2 linked regions of the Arabidopsis thaliana genome follow. The protein of the gene in region 1 purifies or fractionates together with the protein of each later gene. This does not show direct contact. Each region holds a gene or a part of one and is shown in the gene's direction. Other genes may lie near its edges.

Region 1 (6,037 bases):
ATTAATTGGTTGTATTGTGTTTGAAGGATGTCAAAATCTTTCTTGATTTTACTCAATGATGACTTTAGTCTTCGATTTTCCTCTTTAGCCTCATCCATTTCGACTTTAGTTGAGTCCAACTGATCTCATCATACGTTTATAAGATATGGTTAATCACGATATGCTTAACAAATATACAAATATCTATCGTTTGGTTGATCTTTCCTCAAATTATATATGCATGCCTCAAAAATCCAATACATATTTTTTTCTTTCTTTCTCATAATTATTGTACTTGTGATATATAGATGAGCAAATTCTTCGTAAAAACCTCCGCAAAGACAGAAAATTATGAAACTGACAAGAGATTTGAAGATCTAATTTAGTATGATTTTAGAATTCAAATTAAGATTCATTGATTAAGACTAATCAATCAATTAATAAAAATGGATTTTGGATAAAACAAACCATCTATGTGATAAGATTATGAAAGATACATGTATGTAATTCCAAGGATTGATTTATGCGATTTATAAATGACGTCTAAATATTTGAAAACTATACAAAAGGAAATTTATGATACCTTGGATCTTATAATATGGTCGTGTTCTTGATGAGAATCATCGTGAGATGAATCAAGTTTTCTCATCTCATCATGGCTTTCTTCTCTTCCATGACCACTCCTCAAGAAATCGTCCTTCTCCATATTAGTCTTCTTTGATAAATTTTTTATTAGCTCTCATGTTTTCTCTTGGGAACTGTTGATTTCTATATATGCAACCTATACATCCTTTGACTATGCCAATTAAACAATTCACAAAAACATGCAAGTCTCCTATATTAATAATGTTCAGAGAACATGACATATTTCTATAATTTACAAAATTACCAAATATCTATCTTAAATAGAATGAAACATATAGTGCACATATAATATTAAATTAAGATTTAAAATTCAATTATAGTCTTGTAATTAGATAGTCTCGCTGTTTTGTTTTACGGTAGGTTGAAATTCCAAAATCAGAAATTAAATACTAGTTTATAAAGAGTTTTTGTAGACTATAAAATGTAAAAACATTGAACCAAGTGGTTGTACAATTATTCTATTTACTCATTTTATGCAGCAATGTTTCAAACCATGAGAAAAACAAGCACGCAACAATGAAATCTTGAAAGGTCAACAGCCAATCCAATTGAACAAAACAAATAAGTTAAAAATAACAATGTATACGACCAAATATGAATGGGATATTATAATATACTATTAATTGGTTTTTCTGCCCTTTAAACTAATACCAACACACGTACATAATAAAAACAACCATTGTGCATCCGATTTATTCGGAAAAAAGAAAGAAGAATATTGTTCGTGGATCGATAGTGTCGACTAATTGGAAAAGAAATATTGAACTTCAACGCTTAATGTTATAATAAAATAGCTATGTCTCAACAACAAACACTGTTATAAGGTTTGGAGCCGAAATTATGGACCCACCGGCCAACGTTGCTGCTAAAGAACAACGTTGAAATTTCTTGATCACATCGTTACAATTTTATCTCTCTTATCTTTTCATTTTCAAAATGATAAACTTCTAGTGGTAGCGACAGAACAAATGTCTAGATACAGGCCAATCCGCAAATGGATTACTATGGTTAATTAACAAGAGAATGAACCAAAATAGGTAATAGAAAGATCATTCCAAGAGATTTCTTGCTAATTTAAATAGTCTAATATAATTAATATTATAATTTAGCTAATTTATTCGTAGTATTTTTCGATAGCTGTTACTATATTACCTTTTAAGTCAATATAGCTTATCAATACATCGTTTTTTTTTTGGAAAACCAAACGTGTTTCGTCTTAGAGCTGATGTGTTTGTTTTGCCACTCGCGTACCGACGTACGTATCAATGTTAACTTATTAACAACAAATGAGACGACTGGTTGTTTTTCAAATGGCAAAGAATGACCAAATTCGGTTTTAGTTGCTCCATCGATCGTTCTAATTAAAGCATCAAATGAATTGTATTGGATCGGAATTATTATTTTATCTACTACTGGATCTGAATCTAAACGCAGAATAAAGTTTGGTATACAATATAATTAATGTATTGTGGAGCAGTGGAATTTTGATATTATTAATCAGCGGTTAGAAAAGACCTTGACTATAGATCGAAAATACTAATTACCAAGAAAAATATATATGACTCCAGCTATGATATACATGCGTTTACAAAAACGAGCACTCCAATATATGAACTTAAAGTCATACATTGGTGACATTACACAAATAAAATATCTTTATAATTAATAAAAGGTCAATTTTTGTTGAAGATTTATATTTCTGCAGATTTAATTATTGGTGAGTGCAAAACGTAATAAATATTTACACAAACCACTCAAATATATGCCATGATGTATGAGCAAAACTATAAATCTAGAACACAAAATAAATGGTCATATCTAATCAATCAGCTTACAATTTTTAAATTTTTTGTGGCTTCCCTACAAACAAAATTCCATAGGAAAGTTTAATCAATTTCAAGTTGTATATTTTATTTAGGTTTAGCGCAGTTTGTCTCTTTGTTTAACTAAGTCTTTTTTTTTTTTTTTGCCAAATGAATGGTACTTGGTACGTAGACTTGGCATCAAACTAGTAATATATGATATATGTGTTAATCATAAATATAACACTAGAGTTGTAATTAAATTTACCAACATAATCTTACGTTATATGAGTTTTAAACTAGAAACTAATTGACCATATATCATGATATATTTGATGAATTATCATGGACATATCACATGTGATTGATAATTTGATATTAACAAGTACATATTTAAATGGACCACGATCTAAGGCCTTTTGCTGGTTGCGTAGAGTTATGTATATGCCATTGACATTTTAGAATAAATAGTCAGCTTGTTGACTTGGTGTTTTATTATAGCACATCATGTCTTAACTACTTTAACTTTTCTCTTAAAATTGTTTAGAAACATTTTCTACAATTAGCAAAAGAAAAAAAAAAGGCCAGAAAAAAAAAAAATTCAGCTAAATTCGTCGATGCCCAAAATCCGATAACACCGTAATAAGTAAGAGAATACAGGGGTATATTTGGAAACAGATTAAAACGCAGAAAGTAGTGTTCCATTTACAAAACCCTAAACCCTAATTGCTCTCGCCTTCTTTTAGCTTTTCATCTTTACCTGTCTCTGCCCTTAACCTCACACAGATATCGAGTCTCGGCGATTGAAGTGAACTCTCATCCTTATAATTTCATCCGAAAGGTAAAATTTTGACAGCTCTAGTCGCTAAACCATTGTTGTTTAGGTCTCCTTGGAACTCTTCTGAATTTGCTTTTAGATTAGTTTACTCTTTTTGAGCCTTTGTTTGTGTAATCTTCGAATGGATTCATGGTTTTGCGTTAATGGGTTCTGTTTGTTATTACAGATTTTGGATAAAGTTTTGATTTTTTTGGTTCGCAATGACGCTGCTCGAAGCTATCTCCAACGCCGTAGCGAATCAGGACAAGGTCGACTCGCAATCCGATTATCCAATCCCTCTTAGCCACGATGGTATCTTTGCGAATCTGAAACCAAAGCTAGAAAACCCTAATCTTGGTACCCTTGTCAATCCAATTTCCGGGTGGGGAATCTCTGAAAGTGATGTTGAAGTCATCGATTTGGGTAAAAAGTTTTCATCTAAGCTGAAAAGGAAGCTTAAGGATACTAACGGGTTTGTCAAAGATGAGTTTGTCAAGATGTTAAAGCAGTTTCTTGAGAAAATTGGTGAGAAAGTTGGGATTTCAGAGGCTGAGTCTGAGATGGTTTTGGGAGATCAAGCTGGTTCTGAGATACAGATACTGGTGGAGAAAAATGGGTTTTTGATGGGTAGAGATGTATCTGGTTTAGTGTTGAAAGGTTGTATTAGTCTAGAGATGTGGGAGCTAGTGGAAATTTTGATTTCAAACTCCTTGGTTGATCATTCTTCATACTCTTATTTAGTTAGCAATCTTGTTGAGAAGCAAAGGTCAGATTTGCTTTGCGTAGTGATCAAAGAAGCTTCAGATCTTGGGGCAACTGAGCTACTTTCAATCTTGAAGTATTTTTTATGCCCATCAAAGGAAGCAATTAGCACTATGGCTAAGGTAAGAGAAGAATGGGAGAGTCAGGCTATGTTGGCTATTGAAAAGGTGAGCAACACAGAGCTATCAAAGAAGTCTAAAGTTGCAGAAGAGGCTTCTATCTTGTTAATGGTTGCTCATGACGGGTTTTCAACCTCAGAGCTTTGCCTGCATTACTTGTTAGCTTCACGGAATGTTGACGAAGTCATGTTTGCATCTGCAGTCAGTAAGTTGAATGGCAATGAGATGGGTAGCTTTATTCGATACCTCTCTAAATGGATGAAGAAGTATGAGATGTTCCCACAAGCTGGTCCATGCCCTAAAGCCGCCTCCAAGCTTGGTTTGAAACTATGCAACTGGGTTCCTGAACTCACAGACATTACCAAATGTTTGGGACTTCTTATCGATGAGAACTTCTCCACTCTGGTTCTGTACTCGGATTTGCATGAAGAGCTAAAGTCTATTGCAAGAGTAGCCGATGGGTTAGCTTCAGAATCAAAACTTTCCTGTTTTGTGGCTAATGTGGTTGAAAGTTTGAAGCTTGGAGCTGCCCGAAACTAGATTTTCACAATTGTTGGAGCTTAATGCAACCCTGTTTTCACTTTTTATTATGGTCTCCAGTGACATTTGTATTTTCTAGTTTCAGTTCATCTCTTAACTAAAGTATAATTTTGTTCGCTATCTTTGAGAGTTTGTCTCCAACCTCTGCACATTGCCAATCTCATTTAGGATGCACCACATGGTTTAAAATTGTTTTCTTTTCCAAGAATTCTTTATCAGTTACAACAGGAAGAGTAAAAGGTTTATCTTTGCAATACAACAGCTTACTTTGTTGAAGAATGAGCACAAGTTGTTGCTCAACGAAGTGTCTCACAGAGCCGGATAATAAAAACCGTTCCTTTATGAACACTCACGAGACCTTGCCGCAAAATCAAACGGCTAATGTATCATCACCACGAAAGTGAGGTACTCTCGCTGAGGTTGAAGAAGAAGAAGGGGCAAGAATGTAATTACATCCAGAAATGCTTCATAGTTACGCAGCTGAGTTATTACACTTGTTCACAAAGTAAGCTGCAGTCTGGGGACTACCCAACTCCTAACTTTCTTCACCTTCTTAAATTACCTATCTGTCAATTATCATCATTTCCCAATTGTGTTGATACTTAATTGGTAGTAGCAATTTTTTCCATTAAAGTTTTCATTTTTTTGGTTTTTTGTTGATGGAAAAAGTATTGATCCAACGGCTGTAGAAGAACGGTGCAACAAGATTTTGAATTCGGAGATGCGTTTGTTTTAGTTTTAAAATAGAAATAAATAAAGTTGTTCTCTCTCTCTCTTCGTGGACACTGGAACTAACACCACCGATGCACTACACTCTGTAGAGACTGCAAATGGAAAGCATCTTTTGGTAATCACGGGTACTGTTGTCTTCGTCTTAGTTTTTGTCGGAAATCAGACATTAGATCCGACCAGATTCTCTATTTGGAGACAGACATTACTCGGATCTTTATTTCATTTTGTATGATTCTTTATTGTAGATTTTGAGATCAGGTAGTGTGGATTTGAGATCAGGTACATTTACTTGCAAGGTGAGTTCCAGATCTGGTTTTGGTTATTTCATTTCTGGAGTTTTATACGTTTTTGCAATTTTGGAGATTTTGTTGATTTTAGATTAGGATGATCATTGCATTTTCTTTCTCTTTCTTGTTTGATTTCATTGGTTAATGATTGTGGATTACTACTATTTAATCTTTTTATAAAAAAATCCAAATCCTTAGCTCATGTACTTATAAAAGAATGATTTTATGTTTGATAGTGATCTATACATAGTTATAAACAAATGGCTGATCCATTGAACTTAGTATGATGAATCCTGTTACAAAGAGCTTATGTATCTCTTTAATGTCTAAAAGCTCTAGATAGAACCAAAATAT
Region 2 (5,614 bases), on another chromosome or scaffold:
TTGACTCTCCGAGAAACCTTTGCAGATCAACAAACCCATCTTCTGATTCTGGAAACCCTAACCCACCCGGTTCCGATTCAGACAAACGGGTCGGAGACCGATTTTGATCTCGAACTCGATTCTTTCTCAGATGAAAGTATCAAAAATTGAGAATTTGAGGTTGTTTGAGTCTTAATCATCTCGATCAATGTCGCGTTTTCCCCGTGGATTTGTGGAGAATTCATCAATGGAGGAACCCAAAATCGCTCGTCGTCCAACTATTTGCTTCAGACCAATAAACCCTTCTGATTTAGAACGTTTGGAGCAAATCCATCGTGACATATTCCCAATCAGGTAAATAAATACCTTTGTTTTGGAAAGAATTTATATGTGATCTGGTTTTGGGATTTGACTTTCCGTTTTTTGGAAGTGTCTTATCAAAGCATTTGATTTTGTTCAGGTATGAGTCTGAGTTTTTTCAGAATGTTGTCAACGGAGGTGATATTGTCTCTTGGGCTGCTGTTGATCGGAGTCGCCCTGATGGTCATTCTGAGGAACTTATTGGATTTGTTACTGCCAAAATCGTACTTGCCAAAGAAAGCGAAGTGAGTTGCTTTGTGTTTTGTTCAAGTGTCTTCCTTTTTCATCGTCTTGTTCAAGTGTAGATTTCAAATGTCCGAAATGGGTTTCTTTCCACTGGAGAAAATAAAGCTTCAATTTGTAACGTTTCAAGTTATTTTTGAAGCTTGTTTTGAATGGTTTTTGGGTTTTGTAAAGAAGATGCAATGTCTTGTAAAGTGAAAATTTTGAATGTTTGAAACATTTTCTTAAAAATTTCTTAAAAATATAAACTTTCTACAATTTCAACAGCTTTTTCTAAGCTTTTAAGTTTTGGTTGGAGCTTCTTCAGTAGTAAAACATTGTCTTCTCTTTGTTCTTCGCCTTTTGGGTTTTGGTTCTGAAATTTCGAAATAACTTTATACAGCAAGTAACAAGTAATTGTGAAGTGTAGATTTTGAATGTTGTTGAACCATTTCACAATGTCTAATGGTTTAAGCGTGAATTTTAAAGCCATGTACATTAGATGGGTTTCTTACGAAAGTTCTAGAAAATCAAAAAGAGCCAGCCACTTTATTAACATCTTGATTATGATCCAAACTTGTTTTGTACTTGTTCGTTTAATGTTAAGAGTCATCAATGGCTGTTTCTTGGGTAATATGTTGATAGATTTTCTATGTCTTGTACAGATATCAGATCTAATAAGATATGACTCGTCGAAGGGAGAGGGGACATTGGTGTACATCCTAACACTTGGAGTTGTAGAAACATACAGAAAACGTGGAATCGGTATTGATTCTGACCCCATGTAGTAAACCAATGATATGGATATTTTGTTGATGGCTTGATGCTTCTCTTCTATTGCTTGGTTTTGTTAATATTAAGTTCTGCAACTTTTTTGTGCAGCTAAGGCACTTATTAACGAGGTCGTCAAATACTCTTCTGGTATCCCTGTGTGCCGTGGTGTTTACCTTCACGTGATTGCACACAACAATCCCGCAATCCGGTTGTACAAAAGAATGTCTTTCAGATGTGTAAGGAGGTTACACGGATTCTACTTAATCAACGGCCAGCATTTCGATTCTTACTTGTTCGTCTACTTTATCAACGGTTCTCGCTCTCCTTGCTCACCCTTGTATGTACAAAACACAAGTATTTTTTGCATTCTAAATTCTGTTTGCTGTGATGTTTCTTTGCGGTTTCTTCATAGATGGGGTTATCGCTGAATCATGGCTGCATTGCAGAGATCTTGCGGTGTTGGTTCTGAATTATATGAGGAGCGGAATCAAATCTTTCGCATCAAAGCTGACGGTGAACCACGATGAGAAAGGCTCGAAATGGCTTAAAAGCAAAGACAACACGCGGTGTCTCTTGCCCACTCAGACTAAACGAAACCTTGCATCGGAAAGAGTATCATCCGGGTATGATTACGTATAGTGTCCGTCTCCCATTCATAGACTTTGTAAAATCATTCATTTTAATGTCTTCCATTAAGCTCTGGTTGTGATCCTATTGTGTGTGTTCGTGTAGAATAATAATGTGATAAAAATGTAAATATTGTGATGTGATAGTTGAAGACAACTCTTTGGGACGGAGGGTTCAATCCACTGTTAGTCTTATTGTCTTAAATTAGTTAGCTTGTTGAAAAAATTAGCTTTGTGCTTTATGGCGTGAAAACTAGCATAAGCTCATATAATTTACTTAAAATTACAAAAACAAACCCCAATACTTTTTTCGAGAAACCAGATCCTTCTTCAATTCTGATCATGAACAGCTTTTGGCTCTAATTGGGGCTAATTCACATGACATGGAATTAACTAGAGATGTTTAAACAGATTTAAAAAAAAAAAAACAAACCAGACCAATTTTCTGGGTTAGTAACAAATTTCAGTTCACCACTGTGAATGCTTAAATTGTAATTTAAAAAACAATAGGGATTAGGTATATAATAAATGAAAGTTAACGAGCAAACTGTGAAGAACGAGGGAAAGGGGAAGAAGGAACGGAAACATAGAATTAGGGTTCACAGTGCATCAGAGAATCATAATTTCTCTGTTTCGGATTTTTAATCGTACAAGAGGTGAATTGATATTGGGTTCGGTTCGGTTCAAGTAAGTTAAATATTCTCTTTTTCGCCGATTATTTATTGGGTCAATCTCACTATAATTTCGGTTCACTGAAAATTTGAGAAACAGAAGTTGTCCTATAACGATTTTGACGATGAGAAGAATAAATCGAATTCTATGAAACTTTTGCTTAATTACTAGTTCGAATGTTATGAATTCCCGTGAATGAGTATTCAAAAAGGACCTTAGTGTGTTCTCATTGTTTTGAGCAGTTTTTAGCTTACATAGATTTATTTGTTTGGTTTAAGATAATGCTTTGTCAGAATTATGCGAAGCCTAGCCTAGCTTATTATGAATTGTGTTTGTTCTGCAGATTTGAATAATATTAGACTCTAGTAGTTAAGATGTCAGTGAGAGCTAGGAGGATTGTTTCGGGTAGATCAGAGACTGTAGCAGCTAATTATGCTTTCGATCCGTTACATGATGACAAAATTATAAGAAATAGGCTTCTCACACGCACGACCACCACCAGAGGCGAACCTCCATTGAAGAAGCTTCAGAAGAAATTCACTTCTTTTGTTATTGAACTAGACAAAGAAGAAGATAACTACAGTGAGTGTGGTAGGCTCGCGAAAGCTTTCTTGCAAGAACTCTCTGCGTTTGAGATTCCGCTTCTTAAGAGCCAAGTAGTTGTCGCTGCAAATCTTAGGGAGAAAGAGAACTTTAACGAGCTTAAAGATGAGACGAATAGGCAGATAATGCAGGCACAAGCTGATATAGAAGATCTTAAGAAACAGCTTGAGGAGAGTAAGATAGAGAGACAACAGAAAGAGGAGTGTGAAGCCATTAGGAAACTTATCTCTGCGCAGCCACCGAGGTCAGAGACGCAGAAGGTTATACATGAATTGAAGAAGGAGATTGCAGAACTCGAGGCTGAGAATACAGCAAGTTGGAGACTTCTTGAACTAAGGAAGAAGCAGTTTGCATTGTTGTTGCATGTGGTATGTCGATTTTACGGGTTTCGTTGTGTTTTTATAGCTAAGATTCTAAACAAGATTTCGCCTTTCTCGTGTTTCTTTATGTTTACAGCTAAATCCTAACCTTTTTGGTTTTGTGAAAACTTTTATGTATAGGTGGATGAGTTGCAGGAGACAATGGAGGATGAACAGAAGAGTATGGTGGAAGAAATGCAGAGGAACATTACCGCTGATGGCGCTGAAGCCATGTCCATCGATTAGCTCCTAATCTTAGCAACTTTGTCTTCCTCTTGAATGCTAAAGAAACAAACCTTTCATTGATAAGAAGAATCTGTTTTATAAATTTCTGGTTTCTTCTGGTTGCCTCATAACCAAAATTGCTATGAAAATAAGGATATGTATGTTTCATTTTAACTCGCAGATTCAAAAAAAATAATGGCAGATCTTCTCGAGGTTTTGAGGACTATGTGAACCGGAAAGGTCAGGAGAAAGTGATTTATTTGACTAAACCAAGTTTGGTAATGATTCATCAGGAAAATAACCGGTCCAGAAAATTCAACCGACTAAGATTTATTCCCGTACCAAAGAATTTGCTTTTAAACCGGACTAATATATATACAGTACACGTATATCTTCTCTATTTTGCAAAATCGTTCTCCTCTCTTCGCCACCAGAGAGTCTCTCCGTCTCTTTCCACGGCGAGTTTGCGATCGTCCGCGGTTTGCTGTTTGTCGTCATCTCTCTCGTTTGAAGCATTCTTTTCTAAATTCTTCGCAGTTGCTAGGTCTTTATCTTCTAAACCTTACTATTCGTCGGTGTGCTTTCGCAATTTATCTCTAAACCCTCGGAAATTTCTCCTGCAATTCTGAGCTCTTTGTTCGTCGATCCGAATATTCAGTACTTTCCATTGAAGGTTTGATCTAGAGGTAATTCGAATCGGAATTTGATCAACCTTTGTTTTCTTTGATATTTCGTTTCAGATGTTTGCTTCTTCTTTTTTCCGATGAATTTCGAATCGCTTGACCTTGTTCCGTTTTCCGTTTATCCTCCAAAGTCTGAATATGTTTATAGCTAGCTAGATTCAGGATTTGATTTTACCTTATTTCCCCAATAATAATGAAATCCTTCTTAGGTTAGGGTTTTTGTGTTTTTGTGTTTTGTCACTAGTTTTGAAACCGAAAATTGTCATCAAGTGTGCAAGTACTTTGTCAGAGTAATGCCAATATAATAGTTTTGTTATTCTCATCTTGCTCGGCTGTAGTTTTGCTACCATTGTAATTGTTGTTACTGAGTAACTCCTTTTTCTGTGGTTAGGTCTTGACTAAAGTTCTTGAAAATGGAAGTGGAGAAGTCTAAATCAAGGCATGAAATCAGGGAAGAGAGGGCTGACTACGAGGGTTCGCCTGTTAGAGAACACAGAGATGGAAGGAGGAAAGAGAAGGATCATAGGAGCAAGGATAAAGAAAAGGACTATGATCGAGAAAAGATCAGGGATAAGGACCACCGCAGGGATAAGGAGAAAGAGAGAGACCGAAAAAGAAGTAGAGATGAGGACACTGAGAAGGAGATCTCTAGAGGTAGAGATAAAGAGAGGGAGAAAGATAAGAGTAGAGATCGGGTTAAAGAAAAGGACAAGGAAAAGGAAAGAAATAGACATAAAGATAGAGAAAATGAGAGGGATAACGAGAAGGAAAAAGACAAGGATAGGGCAAGAGTCAAGGAGAGAGCGAGTAAGAAAAGTCATGAAGATGATGACGAGACTCATAAAGCTGCAGAAAGATATGAACATTCTGACAACAGAGGTCTGAATGAAGGTGGCGATAATGTTGATGCTGCATCAAGTGGGAAAGAAGCATCTGCGTTGGACCTTCAGAATCGCATTTTGAAGTAAGTGATTCTCATATGTTATATGAAATCTAGAATTATAGGTAGTACAGGAATTAAAAGTTTGTGTTTTCTTCCTTAGGATGAGAGAGGAAAGAAAGAAGAAAGCTGAAGATGCTTCTGATGCTCTATCATGGGTTGCAAGGAGCC

What was found. Proteins that work in one complex are often made in the same cells at the same time.
Region 2: the proteins of AT1G18850 (region 1) and THO7 fractionate together in Arabidopsis thaliana (co-fractionation; one large-scale study listed by BioGRID). This does not show direct contact.

Annotation. Positions count from the first base shown.
Region 1 is NC_003070.9:6,503,555-6,509,591, reverse strand, and holds AT1G18850 (uncharacterized protein), read left to right. Parts: upstream 1-3,049; 5' UTR 3,050-3,267; intron 3,268-3,430; 5' UTR 3,431-3,464; coding exon 3,465-4,664; 3' UTR 4,665-4,915; downstream 4,916-6,037. Other genes in the region: WRKY61 (WRKY DNA-binding protein 61), read right to left, coding at 1-119, 563-685.
Region 2 is NC_003076.8:5,520,869-5,526,482, reverse strand, and holds THO7 (Tho complex subunit 7/Mft1p), read left to right. Parts: upstream 1-2,471; 5' UTR 2,472-2,648; exon of another isoform or gene 2,649-2,976; 5' UTR 2,977-3,007; coding exon 3,008-3,604; intron 3,605-3,736; coding exon 3,737-3,841; 3' UTR 3,842-4,066; downstream 4,067-5,614. Other genes in the region: AT5G16800 (Acyl-CoA N-acyltransferases (NAT) superfamily protein), read left to right, coding at 188-333, 440-584, 1,227-1,326, 1,444-1,647, 1,748-1,974; DOT2 (SART-1 family), read left to right, coding at 4,917-5,467, 5,547-5,614.